Linked DNA regions of Xenopus tropicalis. The main gene of each other region encodes a partner of the protein of the gene in region 2 in a complex. Links are inferred from orthologs where the notes say so. Each region holds a gene or a part of one and is shown on either strand. Other genes may lie near its edges. The genes, in order: pa2g4, ddx5 and srsf1.

The links.
Region 1: ddx5 (region 2) and pa2g4 share a complex: the UniProt entries of both Homo sapiens proteins name them as parts of the ribonucleoprotein complex. The link is inferred for Xenopus tropicalis from reciprocal best matches to the Homo sapiens genes DDX5 and PA2G4.
Region 3: ddx5 (region 2) and srsf1 share a complex: the UniProt entries of both Homo sapiens proteins name them as parts of the ribonucleoprotein complex. The link is inferred for Xenopus tropicalis from reciprocal best matches to the Homo sapiens genes DDX5 and SRSF1.

Annotation. Positions count from the first base shown.
Region 1 is NC_030678.2:137,647,896-137,651,500, forward strand, and holds the end of pa2g4 (proliferation-associated protein 2G4), read right to left. Parts: intron 2,129-3,605; coding exon 2,001-2,128; intron 1,776-2,000; coding exon 1,722-1,775; intron 432-1,721; coding exon 378-431; 3' UTR 233-377; downstream 1-232. UniProt on the Homo sapiens protein: May play a role in a ERBB3-regulated signal transduction pathway. Seems be involved in growth regulation. Acts a corepressor of the androgen receptor (AR) and is regulated by the ERBB3 ligand neuregulin-1/heregulin (HRG).
Region 2 is NC_030686.2:51,532,976-51,537,374, reverse strand, and holds the start of ddx5 (probable ATP-dependent RNA helicase DDX5), read right to left. Parts: upstream 2,813-4,399; 5' UTR 2,795-2,812; coding exon 2,754-2,794; intron 171-2,753; coding exon 8-170; intron 1-7. UniProt on the Homo sapiens protein: Involved in the alternative regulation of pre-mRNA splicing; its RNA helicase activity is necessary for increasing tau exon 10 inclusion and occurs in a RBM4-dependent manner. Binds to the tau pre-mRNA in the stem-loop region downstream of exon 10.
Region 3 is NC_030678.2:76,103,568-76,107,895, reverse strand, and holds the start of srsf1 (serine/arginine-rich splicing factor 1), read right to left. Parts: upstream 2,814-4,328; 5' UTR 2,560-2,813; coding exon 2,366-2,559; intron 1,385-2,365; coding exon 1,143-1,384; intron 316-1,142; coding exon 143-315; intron 1-142. UniProt on the Homo sapiens protein: Plays a role in preventing exon skipping, ensuring the accuracy of splicing and regulating alternative splicing.

The DNA.
Region 1 (3,605 bases), on a different chromosome or scaffold from region 2:
AAGGTGGAGTGTTCCGTTTCTGTGTAACAATATCTGTATAGAAAGAGGGGCTGAAAGACTGCTTTGATGCCTGCTTTTATTTTTCTTTTGTTTTATCGTTTATATATATATATACTTTTGGTTTAGTCTGAAGAGAATTCCAAAATATGTCTTTAAATGTCCAAGTTTGCATCCAAAGAGAAAGTGGGGCTCCCACATCCAAACGCACACTTGGCTGCCCGGACTGCACATGTTTTTTAAATTTTTTTTTTATTTTTTTCTTTGTTTCAATTCATTTCAATTGTCAGGATAAAGAAGGGAGAGAGGCAAAAATAACGCAAGTACTAAAAATATTAACTGGCAGGTCAAAGTCAGACACCTCAGAGAAAAGCCTCTGTTCACTCTGTGCCTTCATTTTCTTCAGCAGTGGCATTTTCAGCATTTTTTGACGCCTGCAATATACAAAAATGAGTTAAACAAAACTGCATTCATTTTGCATAATCTACAAAAATCGGAAAAAAAACACTTTTGGTAAAGCATTCTCTCCTGACTTCCTTTGATTCAGAACTGGCACCTGGTAGGTGCTACTTGGCCATACAAGTAGATGGCCAAACCAGGCAGATAATGCAAAAATTCACCTATGCATGGCTGCCTATCATTTTTCTCATTTAAAGGGGTTGTTCACCTTTCAGTTAACTTTTAATATGATTTAGAGGGTAATATTCAGAGACAATTTGCAATTGGTCTTAATTTATTTTTATTAGTTGTTCTATTTTTGTTTGACAGCTCTCCAGTTTGGAGTTTCAGCATCTATCTGGTTGCTAGGGTCCAAATTACCTTAGCAACCAGGGAGTGATATGAATCAGAATCTGGTATATTAATAGGAGAGGACTTGAATAGAAAAATAAGTAATAAAAAGTAACAATAAAACTGTAGCCTTAAAGAGCAATAGTTTTTTGCCTGCTGGGCCCCATTTGAAAGCTGCAAAAAGTTAAAAGGCAGCAAATAATTCAAAACCTAATAAAAAAAAAAATTAAGACCAACTGGAAAGTTGCTTAGAACTGCCCATTTTACATTATACTAAAAGTTAACTTAAAGGGGAACCACCCCTTTAATGGTACAATTAACTACATAGTACAGATGAGCACTCTCATCCTAAATGACAACTACACATTCCCACCTTCTCACAAACAACCCAACCAACATGGAGATTCCTTAGATTGTGTATGCTTTAAATGGTCTAAAATCCCTAAAATTAACAATTGTAATATAGAAACAACCAGACAATGATTTTCTATTAAAGGAGAAGGAAAGGCTACGTTACTTGGGGGTGCCAAAATGTTGGGCTGGTGCTGTTTTCTCCTAACAGGGGCACCAGCCCGTGGGAAAAGGTAAGCTATTAAAGTCGCTTGGGGGCGCCTAACATTTTTAAACAATACATCTGCCCAGTTTTGCTTAGGTTGAACTGTTTAAGCTTATGGAGTTAAATGTGTAAAAAACGTCGAGAAAATTTGCCACACATCGCTGTGTAAAAAACCGCGTAGTTTTTTTTACGCGTTTCTCTTCCGCTGGAACGAATGTAAAATAGCGGCGTAAAATCTGGCATTAGGACGTCGATCTTCTCTGTTTACACAGCTTTTTCAGCAAATTTGTTTTACACAGCTTAATATATATGCCCCTAAGTCTCCTGCGCTTGTATAATTCATGGCAAAGAAGTGCAGTCCTGAAAGCAAAGACAATACCTTCTTTTTCTTCTTTTTCTGGGTTTTCCGACTTGCTGAACTTTGCAGAAGTGCCTGTAAGCAATACCAGTAATTTCATATTAGATCTACGTTTTGTGGATATGTTTTTATAAATAAGACATTTCTTCGTTAATAAAAAAAAGATAACAAATAACCTCTATGGAATCACTGCATTTTGCGTACAGAAAGCACTATCAGTTAAATGATCCTGTCCCAGAGGTTTTACTGCAAAAATGTCAAATCAACAGTAAATATATAAAGTGATAAAGTCTCACCCACCTTCAACTCGGAATCTTGCACCTCAAGCTCAGATTTGTACATATCAGGTTCAAAGGGGCCGCTAGTTATCCTCATAGGACCATTGGGCATTAAGAGAACAGTGAACTTGAACTGAGCTACAAATTCGCCTAGGATTAAAAAAACAAAAAAAACATTGCAAGTTAAAACAAGCAATGCTTTAACTGTGTTATTCCAGAAAAATTATCTAAAGATATCAGTGTTACAATATAAATATTAAAACACACACACCATACAAAAAGTTTCTCATTCTAAACTTAAAAAATACACCATAAAAATCATGACAGAATCCCTTCATATCTAAATTACACAGCTTACTTTCAAATAATGCACCGTTTTTTAGTCGTAATATTGGTGCCATCTCAGTGCATTGTGCCGGAGTCTGAGCTTTCAGAAGGAGCCAGCGCTACACATTAGAACTGCTTTCAGGTAGCCTACTGTTTTTCCTAATCAACATACTGTCAATACAACCCAAGCTGCAAAATAAGAAAACAGAGTTTCGGTGCTATACTTAAGTCTTCCACTAGGTGGGCAAGTGAACTTGTTTAGCAATGCAAACAATTTCTGATGTAATTTAATCTCTATCATGCTAAAATCTTCTATAGCCTTCAGGAAAACTGCTTTGGAAGGGAAATGGGTCTAGGGTGTCAAAAATCATTGCCTCTCTTTGCATTTTATGTATTTGGGGCTTAAGTTCCCACTGCATGTAATGTATTTGTGATGCCACTACCCAGTGTCTCACTTTATTTAATGTATTTTGGGTGCCACTACTTCTGCCCCACTATATAATGCATTTAGGATCTGGAGTTATTATTTTCAGAAGTCAATATATCATTTTTTACATTTATGTTCATATTGTGTGTATATTTTATATACATCTCTATATTCTTTACTGTACAAAGCTAATTGAGACTAATGACACACGTCACTGTATTTTAGCTGGCAGAGAAATGACTGAAGTCACCCTAAATTACTGGGAGGGCAGTTTTGCCTTTTTACTCACTTGATAACATTTCAGATCACCAGCAGTGCTACTAGCCAATGGAGCTCCTAACAGTTCTGGCAGCTGAAAAGTGTGACTGAAGTGAATCTGTTTGCGCTTTTAAAAAATGGACTTCAGTTTGCATTTATTTGGACTTTTTTTTTTATTTAGTAAAATATAAATACAGGTATGGGATCTCTTTAACAGAAACCCATTATCTAGAAAGTAAATTATGGACAAGACATCTCCGTTACAGTCCATTATAAAAAAAACATAATAACAATAATACAGGACTCTTGATGGTAAGTAAGATGAATGGATCCATATTGGTAATAAAACAATTCTATTGGGTTTATTCACTGTTCCAATAATTTTTAGCAGACTTAAGGTATACCGATCCATATTACATGGTGATGCTATACCTATGCTGTATTTTTGTTCACATCTTGCTTTCTTTTTATGACTGTTCTGATGATTGATCTTAAAGTTTTAAAGTCTTGTTCGTATCATTGTTATTTTTAGATTGAAAGGAACACAACCTTCAATATCCTTTCCATTAGGTCCATTTCCATTAAGCAAGGGGCATTGCCTGTCACTAGGAATGT
Region 2 (4,399 bases):
AACTCACCGGTGTCCGTCTCACAACATCTGGATGTTCTTGATAGAAATTCTTCTCAAATTTGGGCAGTTCATCCAGGTTCCATTTCTTCTTCATAAGCCGCTCCCCAGGGTTTCCATATTTGCCAGATGTACCACCTCGGTTTCCCCCAAAGCGAGGACCACCTCCAAATCTGAATATAAGACAAAAGGGTCAATGCAAACAATAAGAACCAACTGGGCGACAAAGCAGACTCCTGGCTTGGTACTGCCCTACTGACAATGGCCATGCAGAGCAGGACAATGCTCTCCGATATGCAAGGGGCCATTCATATGCAGTCACTAAGAATACACAGGAAGCTACAAACTACTCTGCTTTAGGGGGAGATCCCACCATTGGCAAAGAGAAGCCTGGGCTCCAAAGCCAACTCTCAGACAGCCCCAGAGTAAAGTTGGCCATACACACACCAACCTTGTTTATATTCGGTGCGTGTATGGCAAGATCGCAGGAGGCTCCATTAAAGACACCTGAGCAAAATCTATTTTCACGGCTGAATCTGCAGAAATCCTATTGTTTCTACCTCTATCGGACGATTCAGCCCTGAACGTCAGTGGAGGGTTGGAACGATCTTTCGTGCGACCACGTGTGGCCAGCTTTAGAGCAGAGACAGCACACACTGATCAGATGCAACACATATCTGGCAGGCAGTATATTTAACAGAGGTGCGGCCCTCAGCTATTCCATGAGCAGGCACAACAAATGGGCACTGCCAGAAAAAAGCATTTATTTTTAGTGCAGCCAATGCCAGTCCTGGTCCTTTACAGGATTCCATCCTGGCACCTCACTAGGCCCATAATCAGACCCAGAAAAGCCATCAGGAAAATGATAATTTGTTTTTAAGTTAGAAGCATCACCTTCCTTCCCATTACTGCGCAGAACCCCAGGGGAGAGAGGCCTATGCAAAATGGCCACTGAACTGTGCTGGGTATATGCCAAGTAGGTTCCCTGAGGGCATGCCGTGCCAGTGTTACATAAACCGACAGAGGGAGGTGCCAAGTGGTTGCCTAATCAGCAGTGCAAGGAGCAGTTGCACCCAGACTGCAGGTACTGCTAGGTGAGAGCTCTGCCCCAGCATGGGGCAACTGTAGGAGAGTCTATAAACCCAGCAGGGATATTCTGCAAGTACACCTTGTTCCTGGTTACAGGCAGACTGATCATACCCAGGGGACACTACACAGATATGCCAGCAGCGTGCCACACAATAGGGCAGGTACTATGGGAATATACCCAGGCAGACAGATGCCACACAATAGGGCAGGTACTATGGGAATATACCCAGGCAGACAGATGCCACACAATAGGACAGGTACTATGGGAATATACCCAGGCAGACAGATGCCACACAATAGGGCAGGTACTATGGGAATATACCCAGGCAGACAGATGCCACACAATAGGACAGGTACTATGGGAATATACCCAGGCAGACAGATGCCACACAATAGGACAGGTACTATGGGAATATACCCAGGCAGACAGATGCCACACAATAGGGCAGGTACTATGGGAATATACCCAGGCAGACAGATGCCACACAATAGGGCAGGTACTATGGGAATATACCCAGGCAGACAGATGCCACACAATAGGGCAGGTACTATGGGAATATACCCAGGCAGACAGATGCCACACAATAGGACAGGTACTATGGGAATATACCCAGGCAGACAGATGCCACACAATAGGGCAGGTACTATGGGAATATACCCAGGCAGACAGATGCCACACAATAGGGCAGTTGCTATGGGAATATACCCAGGCAGACAGAGGCCACACAATAGGGCAGGTACTATGGGAATATACCCAGGCAGACAGATGCCACACAATAGGGCAGTTGCTATGGGAATATACCCAGGCAGACAGAGGCCACACAATAGGGCAGGTGCTATGGGAATATACCCAGGCAGACAGAGGCCACACAATAGGGCAGGTACTATGGGAGCAGTACCAAAGGAATATACCCAGGCAGATAGCACAAGAAGGTGCAACACAATAGGATAGTTGCTATGGGAATATACCCAGGCAGATAGAGATGCCACACAATAGGGCAGTTGCTATGGGGGAAGTACCAGGGGAATACACCCGGGTAGATAAACAGCTGCCAGGATAAATAGCGACAAAGGAAGATAAAAGAATAAAGCGGCAGGGAGAGGGGAGTGAGGCGGCCCCGGGGAGAGGGGAGTGAGGCGGCCCCGGGGGAGAGGGGAGTGAGGCGGCCCCGGGGGAGAGGGGAGTGAGGCGGCCCGGGGGAGAGGGGAGTGAGGCGGCCCCGGGGAGAGGGGAGTGAGGCGGCCCCGGGGAGAGGGGAGTGAGGCGGCCGGGGAGAGGGGAGTGAGGCGGCCGGGGAGAGGGGAGTGAGGCGGCGGGGAGGCGGCAGGGAGTGAGGGCAGTACAAGTACGGAGGGCAGTACAAGCGCCAGACAAGGCAATAGAAGGAGAGCCCTTCCCCCCCCCGCCGCCATTTTGTGCAGAGACAAAGAGCCGCAACTGGTGCCTCCGCCATCTTGTCTCGCCGAGCCCCGCCTCCCGGGAGCCGAACAATACAATCCATCGCTCGGAAGCCCCGTTACTCATGGGCCCCCCACACACACACATCCCATAATGCCTACCTACCGTACCAGCCGCCATCGGGCGGAAACATTAAGCCCAAACAAACTCCCCACTGGCCTCTGCCAGAAGCTGCCGGCACCTCACGGGGAGACCCCCGAGTACGTACCCCCTGTCCCGGGCGCGGTCCCTGTCGTTGAATCCGGGCATGGCGTTACACAAAGGGCGTTCCGGGAGCGGCTGTACAGACGGGAGGGCTCGGCAGGAAGGGAAGTAACACGCAGCGCGCACACACCTTATATAAGGCCGGCCGGCAACTGACGTCACCATATTCCTCCGCGGGGCGGGGCCTTGACCTACCGCCGCCATATTGCTTCAGGGAAACCTGTCCAACAAGTAGAAAAACCGACCAGCCGCTCGGTGTTAACCTTTTTCCTGGCTTCCGCCCCAACGATATTGCAAACTGAACCGTGAGCGTGGGGCAGCGGCTGCTCCCGCTTTTGTAGCGGGATATCGACCACGTACTGGTAGCGGGACACCGGCCCAAAGTAAAGATGGCGGCAGAGACTAAGCGATGTGACCATGTGACCGGCAATGCGCCTTTTCCCGGAATTTTATTATCTGTGGCTCATGTTAGTCAGTGTGTGTTGCGTGGGATGAGGCAAGGCCAGTAAGGCTGTGTTCCCTTATTAGCCCCGCCAGGCACACCCAATGGGTACAACTATATTGCCTCATACATATACGGGCTACATACAGTCCCCATTAGTAAGTGCTTGAGCCTTCCCGCTCAAGGTTTTGTTCCTACTGCTGAGGAGCCCTGCCAATTCCTCCCCACTGTGTCCCTGCCACTTCCTCCCCACTGTGTCCCTGCCACTTCCTCCCCACTGTGTCCCTGCCACTTCCTCCCCACTGTGTCCCTGCCACTTCCTCCCCACTGTGTCCCTGCCAATTCCTCCCCACTGTGTCCCTGCCACTTCCTCCCCACTGTGCCCCTGCCACTTCCTCCCCACTGTGCCCCTGCCACTTCCTCCCCACTGTGTCCCTGCCACTTCCTCCCCACTGTGTCCCTGCCACTTCCTCCCCACTGCCTGCCCTCCACTTCTCCCCACTGTGCCCTGCCAATTCCTCCCCACTGTGTCCCTGCCACTTCCTCCCCACTGTGTCCTGCCAATTCCTCCCCACTGTGCCCTGCCAATTCCTCCCCACTGTGTCCCTGCCAATTCCTCCCCACTGTGTCCCTGCACTTCCTCCCCACTGTGTCCCCTGCCACTTCCTCCCCCACTGTGCCCCTGCCAATCTCTCCCCACTGTGTCCCTGCCACTTCTCCCACTGTGCCCCTGCCAATTCCTCCCCACTGTGTCCCTGCCAATTCCCCTCCCCACTGTGTCCCTGCCAATTCTTCCCACTCTGTCCCTGCCAATTCCTCCCCACTGTGTCCCTGCAAATTCCCCCCACTGTGTCCCTGCCAATTCCTTCCCCACTCTGTCCCTGCCAATTCCTCCCCACTGTGTCCCTGCCACTTCCTCCCCACTGTGTCCCTGCACTTCCTCCCCACTGTGTCCCTGCCACTTCCTCCCCCACTGTGTCCCTGCCAATTCTCCCCCACTGTGTCCCTGCCACTTCCTCCCCACTGTGTCCCTGCAATTCCTCCCCACTGTGTCCCTGCCACTTCCTCCCCACTGTGTCCCTGCCAATTCCTCCCCCACTGTGTCCCTGCCAATTCCTCCCACTGTGTCCCTGCCATTCCTCCCCACTGTGTCCTGCCAATTCCTCCCCACTGTGTCCCTGCCATTCCTCCCCACTGTGTCCCTGCCA
Region 3 (4,328 bases), on a different chromosome or scaffold from region 2:
ATTTAAAATTCCCATATCTTTTGGCACCTTATGTATTTGGCCAACATCACTATTGGCTTCAGAGGTCATGTAAAACAGATACTGCTAGTCACAATAGGTAGAGAAAAACTTAACACAAACTACTAAACAATTTAGTATTTACCTCATGAGACCTAAATTTAGTGTTATCCAGCTTCCGTACTGCATATGTCATATCTTCTTTCCTCACAAACTCCACAACTCCAGTACCATCTCGGAACACATCGGCATAACATACATCACCTGCTTCACGCATGTGATCCTTTAAATCCTGCCAGCTGCCACTTGGAGGCAACCCTAGAAATATAAAGTTATCAGAGTGTCAAATTTGGTATCAAAAGCAGTTTTATACATAATTAAAAGCATGCAAATGGTGGAAATTTAAAATGGTTTATGAACTTCTAGTGCCAAAATTCCAAGAGTAGGTATCTATGCTGGTTATACAGCAATGCATGGAGCATTAAAACAGTCCAAAGACAGCTGTATTGCTTAAATGAACACAGCATCCTGGGGAAAACCCATTGTTTTAATCTGAACCATGCTTCCAGCGAGACTCACAACAGCCCAATTCTGCTAAAATAACTCAGGGGTTTACATTTAGTACGTTTTAAAGGTAAATTTGTTGCAGTGCTTCATGTTTGAACTGAAGGTAACATAGCAACATGTGCAAGTTTTCATAGTCCAGATAGCATCCTGAGCAACCAGACAGGGCCATTTAATATCTTGTTTGAAGACAATACCCTATCCTTCCCTTTTCTTGTGACTGCATGGTTTGAAGTCCATTATGCAGGAGAATTGTGTGTGAACTGTAATACAATTATCTACCTTGCAAGGACCAAGCAGAGAGTTGCTTAAGTTCTGTTAAGCTGATGCAAGCCGTTAACTGAACTAAAGTTAAAGGGAGATATACTAGTAGTTCTGTTTGTATACATTAATGGTCAGTCATATCCACTGGTATAGAATGCATAATACTTTAGAATGTATGCATAACTGTGTCCAACTCATTATTGTATACATGTGAAATAACGCTGCTTGTAAAAACCTGATGGGCATTATTCCTCTAAAACTTTGCAACTGATGTTTTTACTTTGGTTTTTAAACCTGCCACCTGATAGAACTCTTACCTGACACAACCACTCTGTATTCTGAACGTCTTGATGGAGGTCCATATCTCCCTCGGGGAGCTCCTCCTCCGCCGCCACCACCACCACCGCCGCCGCCGCCTCCACCACCTCCTCCTCCGCCGCCGCCACCACCACCACCACCTCTGCCTCCAGCTCCTCGCCCACTTCTTGGAAACTCAACACGCAAGCGATAGCCATCATAATCATAGCCATCTCTACCATAGACAGCATCTTCTGCATCCCTAAGAGAAACCAAGGTAAGAATTGCTTTAGTTAAAGAATGCCAGGTTAAGAAGAGAATATTCACCTACAATGGTAATTACATATCCTGGAAAACTTTCTTGGCTGTAAATGAGAAAACTTTATTACAGTCATGTATAGAGCTACAAACGACACATGACCCCAGATTAATTCTGTGTAAGCAAGCCATTGTATCTTAACAGTCTTTTAGACATGAATGGCTGCCCCCATGACTACACAAAAGCTTTTGTATTTACATTTAAACAGTACATTTTCACCAATACTTTACATATGTGCATATAGTGCAGATGCTTAAACACCCATTATTCATTTTGTAGTGTTGCTATTGAATATCAATACTGCACTTCTCCAAGCAGCCTACATAAAAGGTGTTAGGAGTTCTGGTTGAATAAGTGCAGTGAGCCTAATTGCATGCTTTATAGCAGAGACATGAGGCAGCGGCTTTAAAGCAAACAGGTCAATAAATAACCCAAAGCACATTTGCTTGTTAGAATGCCTTCCCTTAACACACTAGTAAGCATGGTGCAGGGCTGCAGAACAAAGAGCGGAAGCGCTATTCGGTCCCACACACAGGGGGCGCTGTTGCCTAAAGGCGGTAATAAATAGGGATTTACACGTGCTAATGGCGATACACAATGAGTGTATAATACCTCATTCTGGCGCCACTCTGTAGGGATTATAGGCTAAATATATTAACTTGAATAATGATACAACGCACCGATGTTGAAACATAACCTGCACCATAATCAGGCCTAATTCCCCCCCTCACTGGCCTCCTCGACTATATATAAACTCTAATACAACAGCGGACGACATTTTATCAACTACAGCAGAAATAAAGTCGCAGTACCACCACCCCGCCCCCGGATACACTCAAGGTATATTGTAGTTATTCACCAGTTAACACTAGGCGAGCCCATTAGCACGATAGGCCAAAGCAAAAACATTTACACAGGGATTACCTTGGATCTTCGAATTCCACAAAGGCGAATGGCGGGCCCCCTCTGCGGTTCTTTAGGTCTATGTCCCGAATGGCCCCATACTTGTAGAAAACGTCCTCAATGTCCTTGGTGCGGATGTCTGGCGGCAGATTGCCAACATAGATACGGCAATCGTTGTTACCCGCCGGCCCCCTAATCACGCCGCCCCCTGACATATCCAGCTTGATGGATTTAAAGGGAGACGGATTGAGAAGAAAAAGAAATGGAGTTGGAAGCCAAACAGACCTTCGATGCGCGCTTCAGAGCTTGGACAAGATGGCGGAGTTACTTCCTCCCTTGCTTTAGCCGCGCAAGGATACTAAGAACTCGCAGTGGTGCGTCCTCAACAAAGGTAATCTTACGCCGAGACAATATAGAGCCTCTCGTTTCCACGTCTTCACGATGCAATGTTCCTAAAGCTATGTGCCAATTACGGCCCTAAGAAAGAATCTATTCACTGAGGTAATATTTATACTAGAAACCTGAGCTCAAGCTGCTTCTCTGTATGTGATAGGGGGGCTTTCTATACCCTGTGCTTGACGTCACGTCCGTCCAGGAAATGCGCGCCCATAGTGGGGGAGGGCAGTGGGTGTTGTTTGAAAAATGTTTTGTTACTCGTCGTGCGCCATGGCTGTTGTTAGGTGGTTTTGTATTATAGAACCATGGTCGGAGGCTGTTAGCTCTTTATCTGCAGTGACATTCATTATGAGTATGAAAATCATTAACTACAGGTGTGCTCTCAATGGTTTCCGCAATAAAACTTTTAAAAGGGTTTTACCCTTGTTTGTAGTCCTGAGTGCCAATTGCTTTTTTTGTTGTTACAGTGTATTTGGAGGGTGCCGATCCCTCTAGCAGTGTGCACCGTACAAAATTTTTTTTGGAGTGTTAGGGTGTGCGGATAAGGTCTCTGTGGTCCACTCTCAATGGTTTCCCCATTAAAGTAGCACTGCAATTCAATACTTTGTAACTGCTGTCAGGGTAATATTGCAAACAAGGTTGGGAAGACTTTGTCCTATTTATTATTATTAACATTTATTTATAAAGCGCCAACATATTCTGCAGCGCTGTACAATAAAAGGGTTTTATACATTGGACATACAGAGTAGCATATAAAGCAATCAATAACCGATACAAGAGGTGAAGAGGGCCCTGCCCAAAAGAGCTTACACTCTACAAATATTTATGTGTTGATAATAAATACATGCCTTACATTACACTCCTGTTTGGGCCTTGTGCATATTTGTTTGTTTTATTTTAGTCGAGCTTAGATTGGGCAGTGAAATTGTAAGCTCTATGGGGCAGGGACCTCCTTCCTACTCTCTCACACCACATGGCGCTCAATCTGTGTATTTATACTTCTTGTATTTATTATAACAGTTGTCCTCCCTGTGTGTAATTGTGTATATTGTAAGATTGTATAGCGCTGTGTACCCTTCTAACGCTTTATAAATAAAGTTATACGTACATTTATATATTGCCCAGCGCTTTACAGAGTAGGGAGTGCAACCCTGGGCTGAAGTGGAAAAGCACTTCAAAAAGTGCAAAAGTATTTAAGAAACTGATGCTGGAATGTAAAAAAAATCCATAACAGAAAAATACTCGAAAATGTATGCCTTTTAGCAAACAAAAATTTCTTTGAACAAATTTAATATAGCTTTTGAGAGGTCACTTCCGACAGTGGAACAAAGGGGGCAAGGGGTACTGTCATGAATAGGTGTGCAAGTTGATGCTTCCCCCCACATCGGTATTGTAGAGAGAGAAATAGCGCTCAGAATTTCATCTCTTTAAAGAAAAACTATACCCCCAGAATGAATACTTAACCAACAGATAGTTTATATTATGCAGAGTGACCTATTAAAGAATCTCGCCAAACTGGAATATATATATATATATATATATATATATATATATCAGTAAATATTGCCCTTTTAAATCCTTTTCCTTG